Bombyx mori: one gene and its partners. The protein of the gene in region 2 purifies or fractionates together with the protein of the main gene of each other region. This does not show direct contact. Links are inferred from orthologs where the notes say so. Each region holds a gene or a part of one and is shown on either strand. Other genes may lie near its edges.

Region 1 (3,657 bases), on a different chromosome or scaffold from region 2:
ACTGTTTGCACTGCTTACAACCATCTTTGACATAAAAAACGAACTGATTCTTTAAGTATACCTGCAGGAATACAGAATACACAATAAGATATCGGTTAAAATCAAATTGAATAAACTTTGTAGAAAAAACCTGAGATAAAATATGAGAAATATCAAGTCCCTAAATTATTAAACTTAAATTTCTATCATTTTAGATTATCATTTCTGTTTGGATTTTGATTATGCTCATGTTTATAAGTGGTCTTAAAAGGACTTTATTTGTAACATATTGACTAGAGCAAGCACCATCACACTCCTAGGCATAAATATAATGACACCACATCAGTATATTTCCTTCATATATGCAGATGCAGAAGTTGGCAGTGGTGATAGCAGTGATGTTACTGAGCCTGCAACGCCCGAAGAAGATGACGATCCCAAAGAAAAGGGGAAGTTGAAACCTAATGCTGGAAATGGATGTGATCTGGAGCACTACAAATGGACACAGACGTTGGAAGAAGTAGAGGTGAGTCATTGGTATTAAATTCAGTACCATAGAGTTTATTCAGTTATTATCCATTCTCTACTTAAATATCCGGATGCCTCCAAAGAACACTACTCTAACTCAAAAATTTGAAATTTTCGTTTTTCACGCAAATCGCTTCACTATGTTAAAAGTATTGCAATTAATCATTATTAATGGGGTTCGAAGCAAGAGTAAATCAGCTAGCTACACAAAAAAACCATAAATATATCTGCAATAATAAAGATTTTATCAACTTTTTTCGTTTAAACGCTCCTCCTGTAAATCTACGAATTTGGAGTTAGCGTAGTGTTCATTGGAGGCATCGATCTAGTAAAATGCTTATTATATTTTTAAGAGACTCAATGGTGAATAAACATTACATGCTTCGCTGTACATGCATAACTCTGTATAAACTAATAGCTGTTGATACATGCACACTGTCTAACGTGCGGTCTTTCTATTGAGAGCCGTAGATATTTGCAACACAAAAAACCTAGTTTTGTGTGCTGTGTTAGTTCAAGTTGGTGTTAAACGTTTACTGCAATGAAATGAATTGAAAATTTCATGTGACCGCCACTTTTGAGACATGATTTCTAAATCTTAATTGTATTGAATACCTAATTTATCTTATTATCTAATTAGGTACCAAAATACTTAATACACTGCTGTGCTTTCTAAAGATACTAGTCGAAAACTACAGCGGAGACACAGCAGAGTACACTACTTTTTCTTTACATAGTTCAAATCAAAGACAAATTTGTATAGTGTACAATAGAAGAATACAACAGCTTTCTCCTTTACTTTTGATCATACAACACGTTTGTTTACCGAAACGTCTTTAGCTACTTCATCGACAACCTTGAAATCTCAATTGCTTTAGAATAGACTACACCCTAAATAATTTACGAACTACTCACGCCCTGACGGGTAAGTCGTACGTTGTACTCGTATCGAATTCGAATATACCACATATTTAATAAAAACTAGATGATGACCGAGCTTTGCTCGACTTTTTTTTTTGATAACGCCATCTTGTTGTGTCTATAAAGCGGTTATTTGCCCACAATAAAAAAAAATAGTATTATTATTCGCCGACAGATGTCGGGAAGAGTTGATTATTGAAAACACGAATAAAACAACATTTTCTGAAAATAAATCGTAGCTAGATCGATTTATCGCCCCCGAAATCCCCTGTATACTAAATCTTATGAAAATCGTTGGAGCCGTTTCCGAGATTCAGATTATATATAATAATATATTAATATACAAGAATTACTCGTTTAAAGGTATAACATATATTATCACAAATTTCTTTTCATGATGAAGAAAATTGAGTCATAAAAATCGAAATTGTTAGCTGGCACAGGTATCTCTGGAGTATTACTACGAAAATTTGTCACGTTTTGTAGTGTGATGGCTGGGACAGCTGTGTGCTCAACCTATCGGCAAACGTAGGGGCTCTGTTCAAACTCCATACAAATTTGAGTTAACTTTTACTCGATCGAGAAGTTAAAAAACTCGCACTAAGCACACTGCTGTGTGTCTGTGGGTCTCGGGCGGTGCCGTTTGGGTTGTGATATCTATGGGCTTGGTGAACCAGACGAGCCTTGAAATCCCCCAAAGGCAACAAATAAATACTAAACCAGCCACATTGATATTTATCTCATCTAGAAAAAAAAAAAATTTTTTTTCATCGCTTAGATTGGTCGACGAGCTCACAACTCACCTGGTGTTAAGTGGTTACTGGAGCCCATAGACATCCACAACGTAAATGCCGCCACCCACCTAGAGATATGAGTTCTAAGGACTCAGCGTAGTTACAACGGCTGCCTCACCCTTCAAACCGAAACGCATTACTGCTTCACGGAAGAAATAGGCAGGGTGGTGGTACCTACTCGGGCGGACTCAAAAGTGGTCCTCACAAGAGGTAAGAACCATTATCTGCTACTTAAAAAAACAAATTAGTTTGAATAATAGTTTATTTTGTTTCATTATCACAGTTCAAAATATGTAACAAATTCGTGTTTCATTGTAATCGTTGTTCACTTGAATATCAATTAATATTACATAAAATTACTACATTCGCTGGCGAAAATTACATCAAAGTTGCAGTTTTTCATGAAAATTACGAAAAAATGCAAATTTTATTTTTCAGAACATTGATGCAAATGCAGTGTCGTTACTAAAATTACTTATTGCTTAAAAACTATTGTGGTATATTAAAATAGCTTGAATTTGAGATACAATTAGACTAATCGTCAATATGAATAAAATAAACTTCTAACAATTTACACTAATAATAAAATACCGTGTACATCAAAGTTTAGACTAAGATTAAATTAATGAAAAAAAAAACAACTAAACTTTAAGTTACAATAAATAATAGGCTTTTTCTAATTTTATTTACCTAAATTCCAGTAAACTGGATTTTTATTGCACTAATTCATGAAATATACGTAGTTGCTTATATAAAACAAAACAGCTTGTTGAAATTCTGAAAGAATATAGTTCACAATATAACGAAATTTTTTTTTTCAATTTAAAACATCGTGTATCAAAATTATCTAAACATTTGCTGTTAAACTACGACCAAATAGTAACTAATAAGCTGGTAAAAACTTCAAAGTTCTGGTCTTCTTTGAAACTTATGAATATTTGTACATGCCGGTCTCCTTGCGCATTCGCACTGAAAAAAAAAACAAGACATTAAAGTTAATTTGCATTACTGAAAATGAGTTTATAGAAAATAGTTTTTATTTAATAATACTCACTTTCGACAAAGCATATCGCTGCCAGTATACACGCAGAGAACAATATAGTCATCGTTATCACAAGGACGGTTATCTGGTGCGAGTGATTACAACAGCAGGATTTGTTCTCCTTGTTCGGACATTGCTTCGTATAACCATTTACAACTGTGAAGTGAGTTGAACTAGCTATAGAAGTGGCGTCTTGGTCGCGCGAGCATTCCGTCTTCACGCCACTCCAAATGGATTCGTTGTGATCGTGTGGCTCCTCGGGAATCGCGACCACTGCTTCTGGAAGAGCGTACTTGCGTTCATAGCCGCCGAACTTGCTATGATACGGACCCAGCTCCTCAGTGTTGCTGCTCCGTCCACTCATGCGTGCCAAGTGAGCCGCGCTGAGTAACA
Region 2 (3,810 bases):
GGGAATGCTCAACACAGCGAAGCGGTATTTCACGCCTGGGCAGACTTGCACTTTACAACAAAGCACAGGTCCGGCTTCAGATGGATCCTACCTCTGCTCCCAAATACCAGCTATTTCCATTTGACTCCATACAGAGACGGGCCATTCGGATTGTCAATAGTCCCGTTCTCGCGGATCGCTTGGAACTTCTGGACTCTGCGGAGGGACTTCGGTTCTCTCTGTCTTTTTACCGTATCTTCCATGGGGAGAGCTCTGAGGAATTATTCGTGTTTCCCAGTTTTCCTGAGCGCTATGACATGTCCTTCAAACGAGGCCTGCGGAGAGTACTCCATGGTAGGCAGACTTGGATTGGCAGGGAATGCTGACGTCCATGAGGGACGGTCACCACTTAGCATTAGGTGGGCAATATGCTCATCTGCCTACAAAGGCAATTATAAAAAAAGAGGTTGATTGAAATAATGATTACTAGATGCCACAAATTTGAACTGTCTCGTAGTATTAAGGTAATGGAATTGTATCTGTGAAACCAGTTGATCTTGTAAATGTTTTTAATTTGAGTGCGAAAGAAATTTACACAAGTATTATTTACTTTTTTAATTATAATTAGCCTCAGCCATACAATGTCCCTGGAATGAATTACATAAAACACTTGCATTTCAGCGCTGTCATGTTTTGAGAACAGAAAAATTAAAATAATGTATGTGAGAGCTCTTCACTGTCCATAATTATTGATATTTATCAATTATTTTGTACACAATATATAACATCCTTGTTTTGTCTTTTTCATTTATTAATAGTACCAATTCCTTTTTTAGATTTTATTTCTAGTCAATAAAAAAATGAGAGATTTGATGAAAATGCAAAACCGAAAAATGATTAAATTTATTACGTAAGGTAAATATTTTTATAAATCCAACTATTTATCTAAATTTTGTTGGTCATCTGACAAAAGCAAGAATCAGAAAAATTGCAAAAAATAAAAAGGATAAAGTTGCAAGAATTACAATTCAGCCCTTGTTAGCACAGTATTTTTTTTTTAAATATCTGTGAAATGTAAGTGCTGTAAAATTATATTACACTACCTATAATAAATTGCTGTAAATTTGAATTGCACATAAAACAAATTTTACTATTGATGAGCACATTGAACGCCAGGGCCAGCGTGCATGTGTTCTTCATCATCACTAGCATAGGCTTCTTCTCTGCCTCTGCTACTTTCACTAGGTGTGAAATAATCCATTAGATTAACCTCTTCTACATCTTCACCTGTAGGCATAACAAAAGCAGGACGTGGGGGCAGAATAGTTTCTATTTGTTTTAACTGTTCCTCATTAGCAAAATGATTTTCAGGAAAAACAACATCAAATTTGACATAGAAATTTCCTTTTTCAAAAAGATTTTTATAGATAGGCATTCCTTCACCTTGTACACATTTAACATCACCGGGCTTAATAACTTCACCAGGTAAATGTCTGATGAGCAAATCTCTTCCATCTAAATGTTTAGCAACAAATTCAAAACCACACAATGCTTCAGTAAGTGTGATTTCATGCTTCATTATTAAGTTATCTCCGTTCCTCTTAAACTTTTCATGAGGTTTTTGTTGTAACACAATAATCACATCACCAGGTTCAGTATCAGGCTGCTGGTCTCCTTCACCTCTGAAGTAGATTTTTTGATTGTCTCTCATACCTTTTTCAATGTGCACCTCTAAAATCTTTGTTTCATTCAAAACTTTCTTTCCTTTGCATTTAGAGCATTTGTCTTTTTCATTAAATGTTTCACCTTGACCGAGACAGGATGGACAGCGTGAATGAAATTGCCGAGTCATGTGTGGTGCAATTTGTTGATATGACACTTTAATTCCTTGTCCACGGCAATCTTTACAAGATATAAGAGAACCTGGTTTTCCTCCCACACCTTTACAGTGGGCACAAATTACGTTTTTGCTGAGCTGCAATTTTGTAGTTTTCCCAGCATACAAATCTTCTAATGTCACTGCAAGGGGATGCATGGTATCTTCGCCACGGACTGGACCACGGCCTTGACCACATCCTCTACTCCCACCCATTCCAAAGAGGTTACCAAAGAAATTACCAAAAATTTCATCAGCCGGAAACCCTCCTCCTTGGCCGCCTTCCTGTAGTCCTTTGAGCCCGTATAAGTCATACACTTGTCTTTTCTTAGGATCGGATAACACTTCATATGCGTAACTTATTTCTTTAAATTTATCACCAGCTGCAGGATTTTTGTCCGGGTGGAACTCTTTAGCAAGTTTGTGGTAATTCTGAAAAAATATTAAAACGAGACAATGGAATAAACGTAACCATGCATTAATTTGTAACGAAATCGGTGTGTGATGGTTTACATATTTAAATAATACGAATTTAAACTTACTCGTTTAATTTCGGATTCGCTGGCATTTTTAGAAACGCCCAAAATCTCGTATAATTTGTTATCAGCCATTTTTTCCCGTGATGTAGAGGATTAAAAGAATTCTGAAATCCTAGCTAAATGACAACTAGAAAAAGGTGGTTTGTTTTAGAGAGGCGCGCTGTGCCGTTTTGACAATTCGAATCATAGCATAAAATCGATATTTTGTCCATGGTCCAAACAGAATAAATTTTAATATATATTTCGAATTCGTCAAATGTTTGGTTTATCGCTCATGACTGCCTGTAGTAGCACTAAACCCATCTTGTCGCTACTACAAAATCCTTATGATAAAAATAAAAAATTTCAAAATCAAAATACGAACACACAAATCGAGAAATATTTAATGAAAAAATTTGTCGGTATAAAATAAAATTGTTTACATTCTTTTACTTTCACTTGTAATGTTAACGAATACACTAACATATAAGTGAATACATAAAATTTATTTTACCTTAGAGAAAAAACCGAAGCACCAACCAAAAAATTTTAAAAGTTTCAATAATTGTGAAAATATAATGCTATTGTGCCTAATAAATATCTTTAGACCTTAGTTGTTGGATTCTGTAAACGTGATTTCACATCCATCTGGAAAAGCACAAGAAATATACCCTATACAGCCAATATTTTCTAACTAAAGGCATAGCCGTGCCTGATATGCGAAAAGAATAATTAAATGAAATTAATAAAACAGATATTCTCTTAACTTCCTCTGAGGTTATCCAAGACACATTATCATAAAATAAGCCATCCAAATTCTTATGTTGTACATCTGAGAAAGTTGGCATAGGAAGCAGTTAAGAATATTAAAGAATAATATAGAAATTATATTAAAATATTCGTAGTGCAATAATGATTTTAATAAATATAATCTCAATCAATGCCACTACCCACTGGGAGAATAACTAACTGATACTACTTACATTTAGACTTAGAACTAGGTGGGTGGTGGCATTTTTTTTTTTTTTTTTTTTAATGCTTAGGTGGATGGACGAGCTTACAGCCCACATGGTGTTAAGTGCCCACAAACCGAAACGCATTACTGCTTCACGGCAGAAATAGGCAGGGTGGTGGTACCTACCCGTGCGGACTCACAAGAGGTCCTACCACTAGTAAAGGCATTTACGTTGTTGAAATATAAAAATACATGTATTTATGGAGCTAAGCTAAGCTAAGCTCACAGATAAGGTGTCGCAGATCTCGGTCGAACGCCTTTTCGAGGTTAATGGAAATTATCTCGAGAACTTGTTTGCAAGACTTTTCCTTAACTGTTCACCGCACGTTTTTTTATTTTATTTAATATTTATTTTTATGAGGCTAATCTTTCTAAACCTAACTTAATTTATTTTAAATATTGTTTACCTAAATAAACTGGTT
Region 3 (4,276 bases), on a different chromosome or scaffold from region 2:
GCTTAATTTACTTCTATGTATTTTGTCGAAGAATAGCAATCCAGCCGCCCTTTCTATAGTTTCTGGAGGCACCTAAAAACAAATTTTATTTTGTGTTGATATTCATTGCATAACTCAAATAGAGTACAAATTCTAGGGAAGTTTTCACAGTTCATTACCATATTTCACAATTTATGAATACTGCCGTGTAATCAATCAATTTGGATATTATTTTATAATCACTACTACATAGACACCACATACATTACATAGTCATACAAACAAGTTTGAAGGGTGAGCACATCTTATAAAATATAATTGAAGTTACAACAACATCATGTGTCCGTGGGTGACAATATTTGATGTGTGTAGGCTCCAGTAACCATTTTACACCAGCTGGGTTGTGAGCTTGTCTACTCATCTAAAGTAAACATGCACACAGATTTGAAAGGTATTAAACCAATTAATATCCTAACATGGAGAGTTTGTTGGTTGCACTGCTATAGAGTGAAGGGCCACATCTTTCAGCAATTTTAAAATGCATGACATACCATAAAAGAAGACACTGGTGTCTCATCAGGTATCTTCTGGTTGGGCATGACATAGGCTTCCATATCCAGTGTACCATCTGGAGCCTCGCCCACGACTACCTTGTAGAAATGAGTTGGTACCGCCACTGTGTTTGCTCCTATAACTTGATAACGAACATACGATTTACCGTCGGATTCTTTCCTGAAAAATGTTTATTGTCAATCCTATGTTATTGAACTATTATGAGCTACTTGCTGTACCCGTCCGCTTCGCTGGGCATTTAAAATTAACATTTTTATTTCTCACCCCCACAAAGATTCTCATCATTAACGCCCCCGCAACTGGTGTAGGGAGTCCAACACTCATATAAATATTAGCCTATCCGTTAAGTACATGTATTTTCTACATTAATACCAAGTTTCAAGTCAATCGGATGCATGGCTCAGTAGTTATAATGGAACATCCGTAAAAATCACTGTAAATTTATATATTAGTATAGATGTCATAAAGGGCATTACTGTTATTATGAAACCATTAGCTTTGTCACTACCTTCGTGTCTATTCTAGACTTACAGTTTAAATGGCAAGACAGCCATTAGTACATTGTAAGTAGCTTGATGTAATATGATTGAATTGGATAATGATATTCTCATTGAGTATCTCAGAGCACTGGTATCTAAATAACACAAGATGAGCTTCTGAGCAATCCGCAAAGCAAATCCCACAGCGATTAAAAAATATTGCATGTTCAAATGCCATTTAAAGAATTATACAGTGCTGTTACCTCGGAAGATACAATGGTCCTGTGCAACAATATACGTGATCATACAATTTGGTTAATTTACGAACATGTTTCTCAAGTCTATTCCAAGCATGTCTGTTGAATCCTTCCCCAACCTAAAAAAATTAAAGCTCTGAAGTCTACCACAGAATTATTTCATTTTAATGATTTTCCAACAATTACTTCCGAAACCTTGGTTACTTCTTAAAATAAACATCGTTTCAGAAGGTTTTTGTCTATTGTAAGAAAATCTTGTAACTATATTGTTAGAAAATCTATTGAATACTAAGTAAATTTTAATCACTGTATACTTCGTGAGAGATACCTACCTGCGGAGCCATATTAGTTAGGTAAAAGGTTTGTTCGACATGTTTCTGTGCGAGCCTGTGGTTTCCGGCCGCAGCCATATGACCTCTATCAAAACCAGATCCTTTGTAGTCACTATTTAAAGATCTGCAACATTTGTTATTAGTAGAATAAATCTATTGCAATATAAATGAAAATCCATTATATTTTACTGAATCCCACGCATAATTCTCTTAGCATTTAGGTTGGATTGGTAAATTGGCTAATTTCAATGGGACAACAGCTTTGTAATTCAAAGTATGTACTGTTATTGGCTGTAGTTTATGATCTATAGCAGCTGTGAAACATTAAGTGGTATATTTGCAGCTACCCGTGTTGGCTAATACTATAAATTCTCAGAAAATTATCCAGTATACAAATATCTCAATATCTCTCAAAAATTTAAATCTATATTTGGATTATTTAATTTATTACCTAAAGAATGGATGTATACTTTCATCAGGCATAAAGTCACATTTACTCCTATCAACCTGATCATTTTTGGCAATGTGTGCTTTTGTTAGATGTTCAAAAACCCAGTGTGGTACCCTGGTGCGACGGTCGTAAGACAACACATAATCATCATATGAACGAATATTGTCGAGGCCGGGGAAGCCATATTTCATTATTTGAGATACCTGAAAGTGTTCCATCATTTATCAACATTCCATTATATAATAAAATTAACTAGACACCAAATTGTTATTATGTTAATAATAAATTGATGTTATATAATATTAAGAAATTATATTTTATTTTCTATGCTTAAATATAGGGATAGATTAGATAGTTTTCTTTAATTAAATAGAAAAAGGCTTCATCACCCTAGTTGTGTCCTTCGAACCACCACTTTCAGTGTATGGCACGGCGGCAGACACAGTTCCGAACACAGGCAATGCTGGTAAGCTCGTCAGGAGTTTACCATCGACCTCTATACAATCTTGAGTAGTATTTTTACCATTGCATTGTCCTATATAATATCCAGTCAAGCCGATAGCACTTAATTGAGCTAAATGAAACACTTTTTTACGAATCATCGTTTTTAACGAAATATTGTAAGCCACAGTTAATTCAGGAACTGCATCGAAAATAATGTTATGATTTGTACTTAATTCTGCAAGTCTCAATTAGTAGTACATATTCTTTGAGGTTATGTAAATAATTTAAATTAAAAAAATAAGAATTATTAGTTAATCTATGAATCTTGTACTATAATCTGTATACATAATGTTTTTTATTTGTCCTATTGAGTAGGCAAAAGGAACATAGTCAATCCAAGCTAATAACAATAAAAGGTCAAACCCAATGACTTTCATACGATATGTGAATTAAATGGAAATAAAAAGATGGATTACAAAATAACATCAAAGTAAAATGACAAATACAATATTTTTTACTTTATTATTAAAACACTAAAATTACCATGCCAGACCAAGACTTCTAAAATAGGTAACTGGTACACTGATATCAAAATATATCATCATTTATAAACTACTTTAACAAACTGTAAATTAAAAAAAGTGGCAACAATAGCAATAATTTAAATACACACATAGACCTTTATTTATGGTCTCTTAGAACTAATAATATTATGCGTATTTTTTTTTTCTAATCTGTCTTTTATATTGAGTTTTTTACACGTTCACTGATTATTAATCTATTTGTTTATGCTATGACAGAAAACTTCTCTGGACAAATGTAAAAAATTACAAAGTTCAGTGCTGGAATATTCAAAGTAACATTATATTTTAAGGTAGATAAATTTAACAGGATTAAAAACAGGAAAGTTAAACATTATTTGTGAATAAAAAATGAAAACAATAAACACTTTTTAAATTTTTTACTATCTTATGACTACATTATAATTTTTGACCACTGCATTTTCTATTTGTTTATGAATTTTGTTTACCTCAGCTTGTGTAAGAGTACGTTCTAGATGTCTATACACAATGCTGTAACAAAGACTATGCTTCTTGGTCTTCGGATGTATAAACTTGTCCTTTAATTTCACCTGCAACACAAAATTTAAACAAAAAAATAATGTTGTCTTCAATGTGTGTGTGTATTTTTTTTGAAGTTATACTTCTTTAGGCGCGTTATGAAAAATTGATGAGTGAAATTATGCGATGCGCGCGCACCGTGACACAAAATTAACAGAATGAAGTTGCCCACTAAATCGCTCATTACAATACGACCTATGTAACTTGGCGAGTCTGAATATAGCCGCAGGTGAACTTTCCGAACCGGACCGAGAATTACCGAATTTATACGATGTCAAGAAAAGGGATGTCCAACATGCGTGTTTGAGGATGTTGTTTAATCCATTTTTTTTCAAATTGATTAAAATTTAATTTAAAAAAAAAGAAATAAATTTAATAAAAATAAAGTATAACTTCTTACGCGCGTACATAAGTACACGCACCTTTTTTGTTGCTATGTGGAGGATATCTGGTCAGAAGAACTCTCATAGTCACAGCTATACCTGAGCATATAGAGGTCATAACACCATACCACTACCCCACTTGATACATGAAAGTTGAAGTCTCAAGTTAACATGAATTTATTCATTTAAGTTACTAATAAATTTGAACAGACAATAAAATAAATATCTGATAAACACATGTAGTAATATAAATAATT

Evidence for each region.
Region 1: the proteins of DnaJ-1 (region 2) and nuclear migration protein nudC purify together in Homo sapiens (affinity purification with mass spectrometry; 4 studies listed by BioGRID and IntAct, with this or other methods). This does not show direct contact. The link is inferred for Bombyx mori from reciprocal best matches to the Homo sapiens genes DNAJA2 and NUDC.
Region 3: the proteins of DnaJ-1 (region 2) and endonuclease G, mitochondrial purify together in Homo sapiens (affinity purification with mass spectrometry; 3 studies listed by BioGRID and IntAct, with this or other methods). This does not show direct contact. The link is inferred for Bombyx mori from reciprocal best matches to the Homo sapiens genes DNAJA2 and ENDOG.

What each region holds. Positions count from the first base shown.
Region 1 is NC_085128.1:8,581,979-8,585,635, reverse strand, and holds part of nuclear migration protein nudC, read left to right. Parts: intron 1-347; coding exon 348-505; intron 506-2,470; exon of another isoform or gene 2,471-3,150; coding exon of another isoform or gene 3,151-3,191; intron 3,192-3,276; coding exon of another isoform or gene 3,277-3,657. Other genes in the region: uncharacterized protein LOC101746542, read right to left, coding at 3,151-3,191, 3,277-3,657. UniProt on the Homo sapiens protein: Plays a role in neurogenesis and neuronal migration. Necessary for correct formation of mitotic spindles and chromosome separation during mitosis. Necessary for cytokinesis and cell proliferation.
Region 2 is NC_085110.1:7,563,952-7,567,761, reverse strand, and holds DnaJ-1 (DnaJ (Hsp40) homolog 1), read right to left. Parts: upstream 2,494-3,810; 5' UTR 2,467-2,493; coding exon 2,398-2,466; intron 2,288-2,397; coding exon 1,130-2,287; 3' UTR 580-1,129; downstream 1-579. UniProt on the Homo sapiens protein: Co-chaperone of Hsc70. Stimulates ATP hydrolysis and the folding of unfolded proteins mediated by HSPA1A/B (in vitro).
Region 3 is NC_085126.1:6,520,496-6,524,771, reverse strand, and holds the start of endonuclease G, mitochondrial, read right to left. Parts: upstream 2,852-4,276; 5' UTR 2,674-2,851; coding exon 2,461-2,673; intron 2,275-2,460; coding exon 2,072-2,274; intron 1,745-2,071; coding exon 1,621-1,744; intron 1,408-1,620; coding exon 1,295-1,407; intron 712-1,294; coding exon 531-711; intron 73-530; coding exon 1-72. Other genes in the region: probable phenylalanine--tRNA ligase, mitochondrial, read right to left, coding at 3,480-3,647. UniProt on the Homo sapiens protein: Endonuclease that preferentially catalyzes the cleavage of double-stranded 5-hydroxymethylcytosine (5hmC)-modified DNA.